Coturnix japonica: one gene and its partners. The protein of the gene in region 2 interacts with the protein of the main gene of each other region in a pairwise test. Links are inferred from orthologs where the notes say so. Each region holds a gene or a part of one and is shown on either strand. Other genes may lie near its edges.

Evidence for each region. The genes of interacting proteins can lie anywhere in the genome.
Region 1: the proteins of PPP1CA (region 2) and PPP1R9B interact in binary tests that used the Homo sapiens proteins (3 or more experiments, as listed by UniProt). The link is inferred for Coturnix japonica from reciprocal best matches to the Homo sapiens genes PPP1CA and PPP1R9B.
Region 3: the proteins of PPP1CA (region 2) and torsin-1A-interacting protein 1-like interact in a two-hybrid assay, tested with the Homo sapiens proteins (2 studies listed by BioGRID and IntAct). The link is inferred for Coturnix japonica from reciprocal best matches to the Homo sapiens genes PPP1CA and TOR1AIP1.
Region 4: the proteins of PPP1CA (region 2) and LMTK2 interact in a two-hybrid assay, tested with the Homo sapiens proteins (2 studies listed by BioGRID and IntAct, with this or other methods). The link is inferred for Coturnix japonica from reciprocal best matches to the Homo sapiens genes PPP1CA and LMTK2.

The regions. Positions count from the first base shown.
Region 1 is NC_029542.1:2,575,945-2,580,150, forward strand, and holds the start of PPP1R9B (neurabin-2), read left to right. Parts: upstream 1-1,406; 5' UTR 1,407-1,549; coding exon 1,550-2,836; intron 2,837-4,206. UniProt on the Homo sapiens protein: Seems to act as a scaffold protein in multiple signaling pathways. Modulates excitatory synaptic transmission and dendritic spine morphology. Binds to actin filaments (F-actin) and shows cross-linking activity. Binds along the sides of the F-actin.
Region 2 is NC_029520.1:170,044-174,247, forward strand, and holds PPP1CA (serine/threonine-protein phosphatase PP1-alpha catalytic subunit), read right to left. Parts: upstream 2,801-4,204; 5' UTR 2,651-2,800; coding exon 2,491-2,650; intron 2,098-2,490; coding exon 1,966-2,097; intron 1,886-1,965; coding exon 1,655-1,885; intron 1,261-1,654; coding exon 1,156-1,260; intron 1,083-1,155; coding exon 859-1,082; intron 688-858; coding exon 553-687; intron 471-552; coding exon 360-470; 3' UTR 172-359; downstream 1-171. Other genes in the region: cell cycle checkpoint control protein RAD9A, read left to right, coding at 1-96; CARNS1 (carnosine synthase 1), read left to right, coding at 3,980-3,982. UniProt on the Homo sapiens protein: Protein phosphatase that associates with over 200 regulatory proteins to form highly specific holoenzymes which dephosphorylate hundreds of biological targets.
Region 3 is NC_029523.1:5,654,550-5,658,749, reverse strand, and holds the start of torsin-1A-interacting protein 1-like, read right to left. Parts: upstream 2,801-4,200; 5' UTR 2,691-2,800; coding exon 2,576-2,690; intron 2,485-2,575; coding exon 2,416-2,484; intron 1,812-2,415; coding exon 1,683-1,811; intron 1,263-1,682; coding exon 1,206-1,262; intron 508-1,205; coding exon 448-507; intron 1-447. Other genes in the region: torsin-1A-interacting protein 2-like, read left to right, coding at 4,137-4,170. UniProt on the Homo sapiens protein: Required for nuclear membrane integrity. Induces TOR1A and TOR1B ATPase activity and is required for their location on the nuclear membrane. Binds to A- and B-type lamins. Possible role in membrane attachment and assembly of the nuclear lamina.
Region 4 is NC_029529.1:1,153,225-1,157,361, reverse strand, and holds the start of LMTK2 (serine/threonine-protein kinase LMTK2), read right to left. Parts: upstream 2,801-4,137; 5' UTR 2,614-2,800; coding exon 2,487-2,613; intron 1-2,486. UniProt on the Homo sapiens protein: Phosphorylates PPP1C, phosphorylase b and CFTR.

The DNA.
Region 1 (4,206 bases), on a different chromosome or scaffold from region 2:
GGGGACAGCTGACAGGCCAGAAATGGTGCATTGCACACGCGTGTGCATGGGGGGGGGGGATGGGGAGTATATCTATGCATTCATGCATGGGGTGGGGGTCCAAAGCCCCCCTGGTATTGAGTGGGACTGGAGGGGGGGGGGGTTATGCAGTAGGGCTGGGGGGGGTGAGCAGGCCCTGCAGCGGAAGGGGAAGGGGGGGCAGGGGGGGCTGTCGCTCTGCTCTGCGTCACGCCACGTCACGCACAAAGGGCTGTCGGGTGCTGCAGCCGCTGCTGGGTCCTGCTGCCCGTATCTGCACTGTGTGGGGGGCTGTGGTTGATGGGGAGGGGGGGGAGGAAGGGATGGTGCCCCCATATTGGAAACCAGGGTGTATAATGTGTGGTTGTTTTGGTCATTGAAGAGCCCTAAAGTGGTGCTGTGCTGTGTGCTCTGGTCCCTGTGGGGTCTGTATGCTCTGGGAGGGGAGTGGGACCCCAATAACACCCCTAAAATATACCCCCCCCCCCCTCCAGGTTGACCTCCTGGTCAAGGTGTGGGTGGGTGGGTTGGCAGTGGGGAGGGGAGAGGGGTGGGTTGATGGGGACAGAAAGTCAATGGGGATCCTATGGGGGCATCATAGAAACAGGGGCTGGGGGAGTTCTGGCTACGTGGGGGATCAAAGGGATCAGAGCAAGGAATGTGTGGGCAAATATGGGGGGGGGCGGGCAGAGGCTAAAAGGTGGAGAGGGGGGACATGGGGACACAGGGACGGGAGGGGGGCATGGGGGTAAGAATGGGGGATATGGGTTATACACAGGGAGGATATGGATGGGGCACAGGGAACAAACACTGGAGGACTAAGGGATGGGGGGGGGGTGGTCATGGGGATACGGGGGTGTATAAAGGTGGGGGGCAACTGGCCAGAAGTGGGGGGACCCAGGGACCATCGTGGGGCTGTGGGATGGAAGTGAGGATGCAGAGGGGCAGGGCTGGGGGTCCCAAGGGCTGTCATAGGGGACAGAGGGGGAGCAAACCCGGGGTGGGGGGGGCTATGGGGAGGGGGGATAGATATGGGGACAGAGCTGGGCTGTAGGGACAATGCACAGTGCCAGGGAAGGGGGGGAAACGCGGCCCCAACCATGTGCAGGGGATGGAGGGGGGCTGAGGGGAGGGGGCGGCGGTGGCAGCAGCGTTCTGTGGGTGGGTGGGGGGACACACATAGAGCTGGGGGGGGCATCATCCAGCAGAGCCCGAAGCTTTAGCGGTGAGGAAGAGGAAGAGCAAGAGAGCGTCGCTAAGACCCAGAGGGCTCTGCGGGCAGCGGGGCGGGCGGATCGCGGGCGGCAGCGCTCATCAGCAGCGCAGAGAGAGAAAGGGGAAGAGGAGGAGGAGAAAGGAGGAAGGAAGGAAGGAGGGCCGGGGTGGAGGATAGGGGGGGGGGGGCGCGCTGGGCCCCCCCAGGCTGACGATGGCCTGACCGGGTCCCCGCAGCCCCCCAGCACGGCCCCCTCCCCGTGCCCAGCGGGCGGCGGGCGATGCGGCTCGGCGGTGACGGAGGTTTCGGGGCAGGATGCTGAGGACGGAGGCAGCGAGCGGGGCCGCAGCCCCGGGGGGCAGCGGGGGGACCCCGGGCGGCGGGGCGGGCAGCGGGGGGTTGAGGAGCGCATCCCCGCACCGCAACGCGTACGAGGCGACCATCCAGGCCCTGAAACCCACAAAGGATGCCGAGGGTGAGGACGGCAAGAAAGCCCGCAGCAAGAAGTATGGCTCCAACGTCCATCGCATCAAGAACATGTTCCTGCAGATGGGGACGGCGCCGGGCCCCGAGGGAGCGTGCGACTTGGCCAAGGGCAAGGAGAAGCCGGTCCGACTGTCCCTGCCCCGCACCGGCAGCCTGAGCGATGGCATGGAGCAGGGCAGCACCCTAAAGCTGGGCACCAGCGTGTCCGAGAGGGTGAGTCGCTTCGACTCCAAGCCCGACAAACCCTTCTCCAAGCTGCAGGAGACAAGGAAGATCTTCGAGAGGAGCCCGCAGGAGAAGGAGACCACCACCAAACTGCTGCTGCGCAAAGAACGCGCCGGCTTCCAGGACCGTAAGCTGGACGTGGTGGTGAAGTTCAATGGCAGCACTGAGTCTTTGGATAAGCTGGACACCGAGGCCGTGTCGCCCACTGTCAGCCAGCTGAGCGCTGTGTTTGAGAAGGCTGACCTGAGGAACAACCTGCATAAGACCCCGGGGCGCACGGGGCCGCTCAACTCCAAGCTGGTGAGCAAAAGGTCCCGCGTCTTCTTGCAAGGAGATGGTGGCAAAGCTGATGGCGGTGCAGAAGGAAGCGCTGGGACCACACGGCCACGACCTGCAGAGGAGGAGAAAGTGATGGGCAAAGCCCCGAGGTCGGGGGAGAAGGATGGGAGCGTCCCGCGGGTGCAGGAGGTCTGCAAGATCAAACCCGTGGAGGTGGAGGAGAGTGGAGAGTCGGAGGCGGAGGTGGAGGTGAAGGAGCCCACGGCTGTAAGTGAAGTGGCCAAAGGGGCCGAAGGGCTGGTGGCCCCCGAACCGTGCCTGGATGGGGGCGAGGAGCCCCCCGACACCAAGGAGGGAGGAAAGGGTGAGAGGGTGGAGGAGAGCGAGCTGTATGATGAGTCCAAGAAGGAGGACTTCTCCGAGGCGGACCTGGTGGACATAAGTGCCTACAGTGGGCTCGGGGAGGACTCGGGGGGCAGCGGGTTGGATGAGGATGAGGAGGCGGATGGGCTGTATGAGCCTGAATCCAGCTGCATGGAGATCCCTGGGCTGTCCGAGGAAGAGGAGCCCGTCCCCAACCGCAAGATCCAGTTCAGCACGGCGCCCATCCAGGTGAGTCCCGCCGGGGTGCTTTGGGGGGCCCAAAGAAGGGAGAAGAGGGGAGGTTTGGGGGTCCTCAATCATCCAGCGATGGGGTTGGAAGACATAGAGGTGGGCAACCTCCTGCCCCATTGGCCATGGCCCAAGCTTGGGCAGCCTCCATGCAGCGCTGATGGCACAGAGTGGAGAAGGGCAGAGCGTCTGCAATGTGCCATTGTACCCCAATAGTGAGCACCCACTGCTGGGGACACATGGCCACGTGGGGAGGGGAAAGGGACACGGTATGGGGTGGAGACCTTGGGGCTGTGAGCTGTTGTGTTGGTGACACGTGGAGGATGGGGATGGCACACACTGCCAACCCAGTGCCCCAAAACCACACGTTTTGGGGGTGGAAGCCCATAATATTCATCCAGGCCTCATTTGCTGCCAGGTTCCACCAGCCCAGCCCTGGTCCCCATGTGCTGTCAGTGCTGGGACTCCCTCCGGAGCAGGGAAGGTTGATGCCCACCCCGCTGTGCTCAGCATGGGGACCATTTCAGGAAGTGGAGGAAGGGGAAGTGCCTCATGGCAGCAGCAGGAGCTGCTCATCCCCCTCCTTGTCCCCATATGGGGACAGCTGTGGGATTTGGGGTCCCCCCACCCATTGCCAGCCATGGCACGGAGGGCGATGAGGCCATGCCGTTAATTCAGGGCTTTCTCTGATGCTCGTATCCCCCCGGCTGGAGGAACAGAAATTGCTTTGTGCCTCGCTGGGTTATTTATAGCAGCACGGCCTATATTCTGGCTCTGAGTCAGCGGCGGGTGGGTGGCCCCACCTGGGATGGGACACGGGCACCGCGGTGGCACCGCGTGGGGATGGGGTCCCATGGTGGCCATACACTGCTGGGGGTTCTACACTGCATGGATCAGCCATGCCAGCCCTGAGAAGGAACCCCCCCCCCCTTCGTGGAGCTGTGGATGTGCTTGGAGGGATGCTCTGCTCCCCTGATGTTTGTCCCCTGCTCTGCCCCTCTGTTGGGGGGGACCCCCTGTCACAGTGCATGTCAGCATCGTGAGCCCCCAGAATGGGCACATAGGGACACCCCAGCACCCATAGAGAGCACCCATAGAGAGAACCCATAGAGAGCACCCTGCTGTGCCCAGGGATGGGGGTCCCTGCTGCCAGCCCCCTCCCTGGACAAATCTGCTCCCTCCTGCTGTGTCTCCTTTGGGAGCTGCTCTGGGTCCCCTGCAAGTCTCCAACACCCCAAAGACTTGGGGACAGCACTGAGGGGCACAGTGGGACAAGCTGGGCCATGCCTGGACCCCTCTGGGTACCCTGTGCAGATGGGGGGCAGGTGTCCAGCTTGTCCCTAGGGGTGCCACACGGGTGGGTCCTGCCT
Region 2 (4,204 bases):
CGCTCGTTGTTTTTTGGCTCCGTGCTGACACCGGGGGGGCCTGGCCCAGCCCCCAGCCAGGAGGTGCTGGCAGAGGACAGCGATGCCGAATGCTGAGAGCCCCCATTGCGATGCCATGGCGCAGCAGCTGGCACTGCCTGGCCACGTAGGGTGTGATCCTAAAGCCACATCTTAAGACCCATTACAAGTTTATTCCCCAAAAAAAGCCTCCTGCCCTGCCTTCACTGCCAACTGAGGGGCGGGTCCTGCCCCAGAGGGTACATTTGGTACAGTAGAAAGCGGCAAGGGCAGGATCTGACAAATAAAAAAACGAATGGAGAAAGGAGCGACCTGGTGCTGGGGCTGCTGGCGGTGGACACTCACTTCTTGGCTTTGGCAGAGTTGCGTGGTGGGGTGACGGGGCGGCCAGCAGGGTTCAGCCCACTGAACTGCCCGTACTTGCCCTTGTTCTTGTCTGCTGGTTTCAGAATCTGCAAGGAAGTGAAGGGTGAGTGAAGGGGCTGCAGGCAGAGCCCTGTGTGCTGCCCCCTCCCCGGCAAAGCCCCAGCTCACTTGGAAGGAGCACATGAGGGTCTCGTCCACACTCATCATGGCTCCTGCGTTGTCAAACTCCCCGCAGTAGTTGGGTGCAGAGAAGAGGGTGACAAGCTGGCGTTTGGCAAAGAACTCGTAGCCGTCCTCCACCACCTGTGGGGCAGCAGCACTCATATCTCCCTGTTCTCTGTCCATAGAGCCCACCAACTCCCCCAGGGGGCAGCATCCCCTTCAAAAGAGCCCAACCACATCCTCAAGAGCAAATGGCCCCTCCTGGGAAAAGCTCCACCGTTATGGAGCCCAGGTGAGGCCCGACCCCATTACCTGGTGTGCCCTGCAGATGAGATCGAGGTCATGCTTGTGCAGGAACTTGGCCACCACCTCGGCCCCAAAGGTGAAGGACACTCCTCTGTCATTTTCACCCCATCCTAAGACATCTTTGTCAGGGTCAGACCACAGGAGATCACACAGCAGGCCCTGGTCGGGTACGTCCGTGGGTCGCATGATGCGCCGGATCTGTTCCATCGACTGCAAGTCAGGAGACAGCCCTGCACAGGAGTGTCAGGTTATGCTGTGTGGCGGCCTTTGGACCCAGGCGGCAGCCCCCAGCCCTGTGCCCACCTCCGTGACAGCAGAATATCTTCTCATCCACAATTGCTGCAATTGGTAAACAGTTAAAACAATCGGTGAAGGTTTTCCACAGCTTGATGTTGTATCGCCGCTTGCCTGTGAGGCAGCGGGGTGGGTGCTCACAGGAGCCCTTCATGTGGGCCATGTTCCACCCTCCCCACCCTCTGGTGTATCACAACACACACAGGGCAGCACTGAACCCTCCAGGGGGCTGGGGGGGTGGCCGTGGAGGTGGCTGGGATGGGGGTATGAGGTCTGCAGGAGGAGGTAGCTGGGATGGGGCATAAGGTCTGCAGGAGGAGATGGCTGGGATGGGGGCATAAGGTCTGCAGGAGAAAGTAGCTGGGATGAACATAAGGTCTGCAGGAGATGGGAAGAGCTGCAAATGGGGATGGAAGGGGGGACTTTGGGCTGGCTGTATCATATGGGGTTGGCAGTGAGGTGACAAGGCAGTCCCGTTTGTCAGTAGTGGGGCCGGTGCAGCACTCACACTCATCATAGAAGCCGTAGATGCGGTTGATGCTGGCACATTCGTGGTTGCCACGCAGCAGGAAAAAGTTCTCCGGGTATTTAATTTTGTAGGCCAATAGAAGACAAATTGTTTCTAAAGACTGCTTTCCTCTGTCAACATAGTCACCAAGGAATAGGTAGTTGCTCTCTGGTGGAAAGCCTCCATATTCAAAGAGCCGAAGCAAGTCATAGTATTGTCCATGGATGTCGCCTGTAAGAAGATCGCGGGGGACACGCGGTGACGCTGGCTCCCAGCCCGCCCCCTTCCCCTCCCCCCGGCTCGTCGCTCACCGCAGATCTTGAGCGGAGCCTCGAGCTCCAGCAGGATGGGCTGGCTCAGGAATATCTCCCGTGACTTCAGGCACAGCCCCCGGATCTCGTTCTCTGTCAGCTGCACGTTCTTCCCAGGCCGTGAGCCTTGCACTGTGCGGGGGTGGCTTTCAGCAGAGCCCACTCCACCCCCGGAGCCCGCAGAGCCGCCGTGCCCTAACAGTCCCGCACTAACGCACGGCCCTCCCGGTGCCCCCGGCCCTCTGCAGCCACCCCCCATCCGCCCCGATCGCCCGCAGCCCCCCTCATTCCCACAGCCCCCAGCGGCTCCCACCGCCCGGCTCCCCCCGGCCCCCCGCTGCCCCGATACCCCCCGCTGCCCCACAGCCCCACAGTTGGACCCCCAGAGCCTCGCACGGCCCCCGTTTCCCCGCAGGCCCCGGCCCGCAGCCCCGTTCTCCAGCCCCTCCTTGGCGGCACAGCGCCGGTCCTTCCCTCCCCTAGCGGCTCCCGAGGCGGTCCGGGAGCACTAGGCCCATCGCTCACCCTCCAGGAGGCGGCCGATGATGGAGTCGAGGTTGAGCTTCTCGGTATCCGCCATGGCCGCCGGACGCTGCTTCCCCCCCCCGCCCTGGCCCGCCCCGGTCCCGGCCCCGCGGCCATAGAGAGCGGCCGGGGCGAGCGGCGGGTGGCGAGAGCGCCCCATGGCGGATGGGAGGCCGCGGAGGCGCGTGGGGGCTGCGCGCTCCCACGAGGCGGCGCCGTGTCGTTCCCCGTGCCGGCCGGTTGCCCGGCGGCTGTTGCCGTTGTCAGCCTCGCGGCGCGTGGGGAGCCCCGCGGGGACGTGTGCCGAGAGACACGGTGCTGCCACCGGCTCCACCCGCCTCACTTGTGCCCCTCGTGCCGCCGTGCCGCCCCCACGTGCAGTACGAGCCGCGCGGTGCCGGCACAGCCTGGCCCGTTGCCCGCGGTGACACCGGTGACATTTCAGCCCCGCGGTGTCAGCTGCGCCGCTGTCCCCGAACGACCCCGGCAACTGTCCCCGCTCCGCTGCCGGCTGCGTGTCCCGCTGCTCGTGTCCCGCCTCCCCGTGTCCCCCGATCCGTGCGGCCCCACGTCGCGGTGTGCTCACATCCCGTGTCTCCGTGCCCCGGCTCCTCCGATCTACCCGTCCCCACCCCGACGTTGCTCTGTCACCACGTCCCCCACTCTCAGATCCCCCTTTTCCCGTATCTTCCCTTATCTCCGTATCCTCCGATTTACCCGTCGCTACGTCCCCGTGCCTCGTATTCCCAAATCCCCGTGTCCCCGGATCCCCGTAACCCCACAGATCCTTCTCCCCGTGCTCCCTCGTTCCCCATCTCCATTTCCCCATACGCCCCAGATGTTCTCATGCCCTCGCATCCTTGTCTCCACGCCCCATAGTTCCCTCACACCCCACACCTGATACCCCGCACCCCTGAATCCTGGTGCCCGCACACCCCGCACACCCCCCATTCCCTCTCTCCCCCCCTTCCCCGCCCCGCCCCGCGCCCTCCCCCGGGGACGCCCTTCTGCCACCGAAGGCGCCTCCGCCGCCGGTGCAGAACGGGCACGGCTCCGCGGGCACCGCCGCCACGACCGCCCGAAAGCGACAGCGACCGCCGGTGGGTGCAGGCGGCGCCCGCTCCACGCGTGTCCGAGGGTGTTGGCGTGCGCCGTGCTGCGCGTGTCCGGCGGTGAAATCGCGGGCAGCCGTTGCGCTAAGCCGGGGGACGTGCGGGGCGGCACCGAGCGGCGCCGGGGACGGGCGGGTGGAAGCCGGGGACAATAGGGCTCTGTGCCGCTAAGCCCGGGCACGGGGCCGCCCCACTGCCAGCGGCCACGCGTGACTGCGGGGCACGGCTCTTCCCGGTGGGGCCGTGTGGCCGCACGCCTCAGTGTCCCTCCGGGAGCACGGTGGCACGGCGCGGTACCAGTGGGGCCGACGGTGCGGGCTGCGCCCTGCTCACCGCGACCCCTCTCCCGTCTCTCGCAGCCTCCCGACGCCCGCAACATGGTGAGTGGCGGCCCGGGGTCTGCGGGCGGGGGGCCCCTTCCCCTTTCCCGGCGGGGCTGGGTGGTGCCGGGTGTTCCGTGTGGCAGCGCCGTGCCCACCGCCTCCGCGTGACCCCGCGGGGACAAGGGGACGCTTTGTCCGTGGGCTGGCACCGCTCCCGGGCACCCCGACACCACCGCCCCAGCGACGTCCCGTGGCTGCCCGATGCCTCCCCTGAACCCG
Region 3 (4,200 bases), on a different chromosome or scaffold from region 2:
CAAACTCAGCTTAAAATGGCGCTTAAAGAGGTCAAGTTAGTTCCTCCATTTAGTTTCTGTAGAGAGTCTGATAGAAAACCTGGCAGTACCAGAACAATTTCTGTTGCTGTTTCCTCTTAAATATTAACATGCATTATTCATATCAAACACAGGTGCTCCATACTACTGGAGAATGGCAAACAGTGCACAGGAGCACAGTGAGCATCAGAAACTTTGTTTTCATTCTGAATTAGAACAGCTAAACTAACACGTGTTTGACCTACTACAAGCATGAGGCTTGATTCCATCCCCAGTAAAACCCATAATAAAACAGACTGAGTTCTGTGGCAACAAAGAGCTATACCACTATGTCCACCTCGATTTTAATTGTAAGGATGCCCAGTTTGAGCAAGCCAGAGAATGGTTAAAATAACACATATGGAATAGAAGTGGAAGCAGAAGTCTTACTTTTGGCCAAGGGCTGTGACTGCTTCCCCGTGCTGGGCTTATCTCGGAATTTACTTCTGCCTGTCGAGATTAAGAAAGGAACATGAGAAAAATATATAAGGCAGCAATTATCCAGTGGGGAAAGGGCTTATAGAAAGGCTGTAATAAAATACACTCTTGGTGTATTTATTTAAATGGGTTCAGACAGCAAAATTCTAGAGATGTTATCCATCAAAGAGCATTATGAGCAACTTTCCAAGATACCTGTATGAATATATACACAGTGCAATTATTGATCAGCATGTTTTCTTCATTCTGTCTGTTAATTAAGACAACGTGTGAATTTCTGGCTCCTTGAAAACTACAGCAACTGGTTTCAAAGCTGAAGGCTCTTTAATAACACAGGACCAAATCAGGATACTGTCAATGACACTATTATGAATAAACTGAACAAACACGCCCTGCAGTAGTTACTTCAAGAGCACCAAAATAAGCACAGCAGCCTAATGACATACTATGAACCTAATGACAGTAGATGCTAAAAGCAGTTCTGGTTTAAGCCAGAGAATGGTTAAATGAGCAACTCTGTTCTGCAACTCTCTGACACCCTCAACAGGGCACAGCAGACCCTGTCAAGAGGAAAACACCAACAAACATCAACCAACACATACACAACCACAAACACAAACCAAAAGTGAAGCAGAGGAAAGCAATTCTGTAGCGTTCTCATAGTTACAGGGAAGGGCTTGGTATCTATTGGTATCTATTTCTCCACTTACTCTGTGGTTTTGTAGAATGGTGCTCTTGAGTTTTCTCCAAGAAGTCAGCCTTACTTTCTGAAACCAAAGCAAAAATGAGAAATAAAGCTGTGATCACATCAGAGTGTATAATAGTAAGCCATTCCCAACACGCGTTTAGGTCTTGCTATGAATTCTTTAGAGGTTATCAGGGAAAGAGTACAGTGTCTTGCCATACCAGACCTGTGATAGCCTCTCAAATCTGTCCATTAAGGAAGAAAACTGCCACATCTCCCAGAAGGGCCTGGCACCTGGCTCGTGCCTAGATTTTGTCAGTGTTCTCTTACAGGCAATGAATTGCACTGTGTGATTAAGCAATTACTGACTGGATGAATGCAAGCCACCCCCTTATTCTTCAAGCAGTTAGATACCAGCTCCCCCCAGAACAATATATTAAACGTCTTCATCCATCTAGGTTCCAGCTCAGCTCCTCCTTTGGTATCATTTAAGTACAGTTACCTTTCAGTGGTGTATAAACATTAGGCTGGTCCTCTGATGGATTCTTGGGTTCAGTTACATCATAGTCATCCACTTCTTCCTTTGCTGGGCTCTCTGGAAGGAAGGAAGCCGAAGAACCACCTGACTTACCTAGAAAAAGAGATAAAAGAGGCAGACATAATTGCAGTACAATGAGTGTTCATCATTAAACCAACAGACAAGGTGCAGTTTTAAAACATATAATCTGTGTCTTCCTAGTTGTGATCTCCCAAGAGTTACTTTTGACACCCAAAAGCAATTAAGAATTGAGAAGCTTACAGCAGATTGGAATCCACTGCCAACAGCTGTATGTGCTGCCACATAGACTGATTCTTTTAAGAGCTTAAAAACACCTCAGAGCAAGATGCACTGCTTCTCTGTGGGGCACCATGTCCCTCACTGAACCCCTCAGGCAGCTGGGAAGACATGAACCCACACCAACAGTGTTTGTCCAACCCTGCAGCCAAGCAGAGGCCAAAACCCAACTTAGCACTGCCAACAGAAAGCATAAAGTCCAGCAAGGTGACAGAGGTCACAAAGCAAAGGTCAGGGCCGGCTGACCAGCCGTATAAAGCACTGAAGGGGTGCTCATAGAAAAGAAACCAGTCTGAAAAGACAAAGCCATCGTTAAGGCCGCAAACAACAGCCGTACATCGCACCGTCCCACCCGTACAGCCGGATGGATGCTCCAGCTCAGCAGGCGACCGGGACTCACCTGCCGCCCTGTAGGCGCGGATGGGGGGCCGTGTCAGGCTGCCCGGGGTGCCGAATACCCTCTCTCCTCCTGCAACGAGATTCCGCTCTTTCATTGCTCCGCACACATCCCCCATCAGCTCCCCGCCCGCTTCCCCATTCCGCCCGCCCGCCCCGCTCACCTTCCGGCACCACACCGGAGTCGGGCTCGGACTCGGCCGCGAACCGGGGGCTCTTCCTCCTGTGCTTCAGCTCCGGGCCGTGCGGCGGGCCCTGCTCCTCGCCGTCCCCCACCATCCCGGCCGCTATCCCGCTCCGCTCCGCACCGAAGCTGCCGCCTTTCCGCAAGGGGCGGCTCCGCCAACCTCACTTCCCGAGTCGCCTTTAGTTCCGGCCGCGAGCCGTGTGACGCGGAAGCGGTGGGGAGGGGTGGAAGGAGGGGGGTGGTACAATATGTCTGCCGTGTTGTGTCTTACCTATCGCTATAAACAGGTCAAATGCACCTTCCATTGCTGATACATCCCTGCCAAGTTCTGCACTGGCTGTTTATGGACCTGAAATGGGTCTGATCCCTTCTGACACTCTGCCTCCATTGCCAATAAGGACTGAAGGTTTCCTATACGCAGCATTAAAAACGCTTTGTTTTGGTGCTGGGCTGTATTGAGGCTCTTTGTATGCAGGTTGTATCCTGATCTGGTGCCCTTGTGCTGATACTTTCCCTTGGTGTGAGGTTCCCATGTCACTGGTTCCTATGCATTAGGTCCTGGGATGGGAGGGGAGAAAAGATGGAGTGTATCTACTGTTTGTAAGCACAACAAGGAGCATTGCCATATTGAAAAGCATTGCCCAAACATATCTAAACCTACAACACAGATACAGCCCCGAAGGATAATAAGGAACGCTCCAGCAAACAGCCCTGCTGACGAAATGCTGCTTGTCAAGGAAGAGGCGGCCGTGTTGGAGAGGAAGGAGGAAAACTACAGCTCCCAGCATCCTGCCTGGGCGCCTGAGGAAGGGCAGGGTTCACCTTTGCACCCACAGCAGAGGATTCAGAGTGTATTGAGGGAAAGGACTCTCCATCCAGCCCCAGGGCAAGGCTGAGCCCCAGGGCCATTGCTGGCTGCCTCGCTGCTTCTAGTTGGATCCCTGACCAGCCCCAGCCCTGCCTGGTAAGTGTCTGAGGGCACGTCATCTTTGTGCTTCCTTGTTCTGCAAGCAGAACAGCACAGGGAAGGGAGGGACAGGAGCCAGGCTGGGAGAGCCACAGGATGTACACCCATGCACTCTAAATTCTTGCACTTAGTAAGAAATCTGAGCTACAGTGGCAGCCCAGGGGGTAAAGGTGCCCCTCCAGCTGGGAGCTGAGATCTTTGGTCTGCGTGAACTCATCTCCTGCGGGGAAAGTTCCTAATGAGTTTTCCACAGTGCCTGTCACTGGTTGGCTGGCAGGCATTGCGCGCTGTGAGTTCGTGGCATACCGTAACGGTGACATGCACTCATTTCCCCGCAACGAAACTAACTTTGAGGGGAGGGAGGAGCTTCCCCTTCCACCATGAATCACTGCGGCTCTTTGCACTTATCAGGTCTACCAGCATTCGGCTGCAGTTCCTGAGGCCAAGGCGGGATGGTGGCCCTGCCAGGGGTAGGACTTGGTCAGCTGCCCCACCAGGGGGGAGACAAGTCCCTGTACAAGCAAAGGAGAAAGTGAAGCAAAACAGTGCTTGGATCCAGGGGAGAAAAGAAATGGAAGAGAATTCAAGTGCGGGTCTGCCCGGAGGTAAGTGAACTCCATGCTTGCTCCACCTCC
Region 4 (4,137 bases), on a different chromosome or scaffold from region 2:
TTTGCATTTGCAAGGACTTCATACAGCAGAGATGACAGCAGTGCTTCCTCTGATGCTAACACATACCCTTGATTCTGATTCCCAGCTTTCTGGAGAGGCAGCTGAATTAAGGTCAAGTATGAAAATCCAAGTCAAAATGAGAGAGAGAGTCTGAATTAGAATGTAAAGCTTTAGCACAGCAAAGCAGAAGTGTCAGATTATGATGCAGTATGTTTGTCCACAAAAATTACTGCTAAAGAGCATTTCTCACATAGAAATACATCAGCTACACTATGCTATAAAGGACGATCATCTTGGCCTGATGCACTCAGGTAGAGCACCTAATGCTCCACAGGCTCAGAACAGCTGAATACTTCATTCTACCAGCTGCTCCAAGCTGGAGCAGGTCAGGCCGAGCGGCCCCACAGAGGCAGGTCTCAGTTAGACCTGTCTGCAGCTCCAGCAGGTGAACTCTGGTACTCACAACAGTCACAGCACATCCCAGTACCTTCCCTTTCCCACTGACTGAACAAATTAAGTCAGTCTGTTTCTAGCTAGTAGCATCTTCAACATCTTGTTTTTCCTATTTTCTACAGTAATTGCTATGAACCATATCAGGGCAACGACAAAAACCTTCCTCTACCATTTCCTTTTTATTTTTTTCCTAGCAACTTCATAAATGCAGCCTCAAACATGGGAGACAAATATAGAACACGCCATCAGGGCACACCTTCATCTGCAAACACCGTGAAGACGTACCTAAAAGTACAAGCTGCATCATGATGAAGACACTTGGAACACGACGATTCCCCAGACACCAACTGCTGCAATTCCACAGTAGATCCACAAAACGGAACGTTTCTGAACAAGGAATCCAAGCCAGCCTTGCCAGAATCTGCCATCCATTGCCACTTCCTGCTCCCCAACTGCCTCCAAAAGAGAAATCTCTTCATCATGGGCACATTCCAGGAGCTGTTCCACAGTGGTCACTACAAACACCTCCCACAACATCTCCTTTCCTCCTTTTTCTGCTGAGCACCATCTTTCCAGCACAGCACTCGAGGCTGGGCACATCAAAATACTTCTCCACCATCAGAGAAGCAGCCCATCCTGGTAGGTGCCCAACTGGGGGATCATGAATTAACTCCAAAACCCATCACTAGTTTATGAAATGTCCATGAAATTATTCCTAACGTTACAACTCTTAAGCAGGAGGTTGTGTGTGTTGGTGAGCTGAGAGGGCTGCAAAGGTTCAGAGCGGGGTCTGTTATTTATTCTGAAAGTCATCAACGACTGCCAGTCCCAACACAGGAAATCAAAGCGACTTCCATGGGACACAGGAGGGAAAAAGTGACAATATAGCAGAGGCTGCTTCAAAAGTGCGATTTGCTTAGTGTGACTTCCCACTGCAACAGGTCTGTGACAGCATCAGAGAAGCTACATCCTCATCTCTGAGCTTTGGAGGATACGTGGTGCAGTCTTGATAGCAGAGCAATTCTCATTTCATGGGTTACTCTGAGAACACTCAGTGCCTGCACTGACACTGCCTTCAAACAGAAAAACCAACAACACTTCAGGACAAGAACAGACACCAAGAAGGAAAAGCCTGCTGCCCAGAACTGCTGTGCCCTCCCTCATGGCCTGACAACAAGGCAGCATCATTGGGAAATTTCTCACATATTTCATAAATGAGAAAGCTAGAATTTAGCCTCCAAGAAAATACAAGTGTGACCCAGGGCTCCTCAGGGCCTTCATTTCTCCCAGAACTTTCTTTTAGAAGGAGCAGCCTCGAGGCAGGCGGACAGAAGGAATAACTCATCAACAATGGAAATTGCCTTGGGAAGGAAACAAATGGCAAGAATGTAGGTCCAAAACCAAAACAAGGGTGGGATCCACATCCAGCCCTGATACTTTCTGTGGAACAGCAACCAAAGCGCTGAGCTTCACAGCTCCCCTCGCACTGCTGCCCTGCCCCGTCCAGCTGCTCCAAGCTACACCGACACAACTCAACCCCAGCGCATATCTGTGTCGAGCCCAACGGAATTCAGTCCCAATTCAATTTTACGTTCAGAAGTATCAATAAAGCACAAAAAAATGAGTGAATGATTGAGGCGACTGCTACCTATCAGAGCAAATAAACCTCCCCGCAGTGATTCGTGAGAATGGGAGAACGCACCGCCCGTGCGTGCCTTGAGATAAACAGGAAGACAAGGGCTCGAAGGCCGCCCGGTTACCTAACGCGGGGCCGAGCAGCCGGGACCGCATTCCCGTCGAGGGAAGCGCCGCCCGCCCCCAGGAGCCGCGGCCCCGGCGGGAGCACCGCATCGATCGGAGCGGGGGAAGCACGGCGCGATCAGCGCGGCTCACACGGGCGGCCGCTGCACAACAGGTCGCAGCGCGGCACGAGCGCAACGCGGGGTCTCGGGAGCCGCGTCCGCTCGTAGCGGGGCAGGACAGCGCTGCCTCAGCCGCGCCCCGCAGCCCCCGCGCCGCCCCCCGTGTCTCACCTGCTGCCGCCAGCGGAAGCGGAGCCGCCCGGCCGCTCCCCAGGAGCAGCGACAGCAGCACGGCCAGCCCGGCCGGGCCGCCCCCCCGCCGCCCGCCCGCCGGGACGAGCCCCCCGCGCCGCCTCATGTCCTCCGCCGCCGGGCCGCGGCTCGGCGCCCAATGAGGGGCTCGAGGCTCTCAGCGTCTCCGCGGAGCTCCTGCTGCAGCCGCTGCTCCCCGCCTGCGCGGCGCGGCCCACGCGGCATAGGCGTCCCCGCTCCGCTCACACGGCCCCTCCGGCCGCCGCCGCCGCCGCCGCCATCTTCCGGGCTACCTGACCGAGAGGGGCGGGCGCTCTGCTGACCGACAGCCCGCTGCGCCAATCGAAACGCGTCCCGTGTTCGGGGGGCGGGACCGCCGGTCGGGACCGGGCGGATCCGAGATTGACGGCCAGATCCGCCAATCGCACCGCACGGGGCGAGCTGGGCCCAGCGCAGGCTGCGGCGCGAGAACGGAGCGGCGCGTCTGCCAATCAGCACACACGACCCGCGCGGAGGGGGCGGGGCTTCCCCTGGAGTGAAGGAGCTCGGAACCAATCAGCCGGCACCGTGGGCATGGGGGCGGGGCTACGGGAGGAGCCCGCCTGAACCCGCGCGCGGGACCGACGGGACAGCGGGTCGGGCTGTGCGGCCTGGGGTAACTGCGCTACCAACGGCTCACATCTGACGTGTCTGAATCAGCTTTTCTTCCACCAGAAATATTTTAACTGGATAATAAGGTGGGAGACAATGTTCCGTTGTTTATTCTGCTCCTGCTAATGCTCGAGGTACTTTGTGACAGCAGCTGAGCAGCACGCCTTGCTGCGGCCCGTCACCTTCCAGAGCAGGCGCCAAGCCGGGCACTGCGCATCGCTGCTGTTGAGGTACAAACAGCTCATACCGCAGTGCAAATAGCGCCGTGTGCTGTGGGCACAGCTCAGCTCAGACACTTCTGAGATCTGACACTGACTTCATGCGAATTCCACAAGAAAATCACCCCGAGGTTCACAGCAGCTGCAGACCTGAAGCTTAAAGCTTCGTTTGCAGCCTGTCAGCAGGTTTGCAATGCAGGGGTGTTCTCATTTCAACAGCCAGAACAATTCAGTGCACTCTAAACACGGCAGACTGCCTCATTTCAGAGCCCGCCCTGTCCTAATTGAATGCTAAGCCTTTGATGTAACTTACTGATAACAACATGTTGTGATACTATCTGGGGAGTTACGGCACCGTGTCATTAAAGGACTCGTCAGAGCACTATGCTGTAATGACGGGACACGTAAGGTGAGCTGTGAATTAGTCACCGGCAGAATAAGAATGGTTATAACCAGCCCTTCAATTCCTTGTTCTGCCCTAGTCACAAGTACTGCCTATCTCCAAACACCCCGTGAGCATCCCAAACAGCCACACAGCACCTGATCTCCACAGCCTGTTACCATTCCCCTGTCTGCAGCTTAACGTTTGTAGCAACTCTGGGAGACTAAAGGGATGAGCAACCCGCTGCCAAGGAATGCAAGAGGTACTCATACAGAAAATATATTTACTTAAATAAAACAAAACTCTTCCTGTACACAAGATGGGATGTATTACACAGCACAGTCTCATGTCTCTTGATTATGCGCTGTTAGCACTGCCA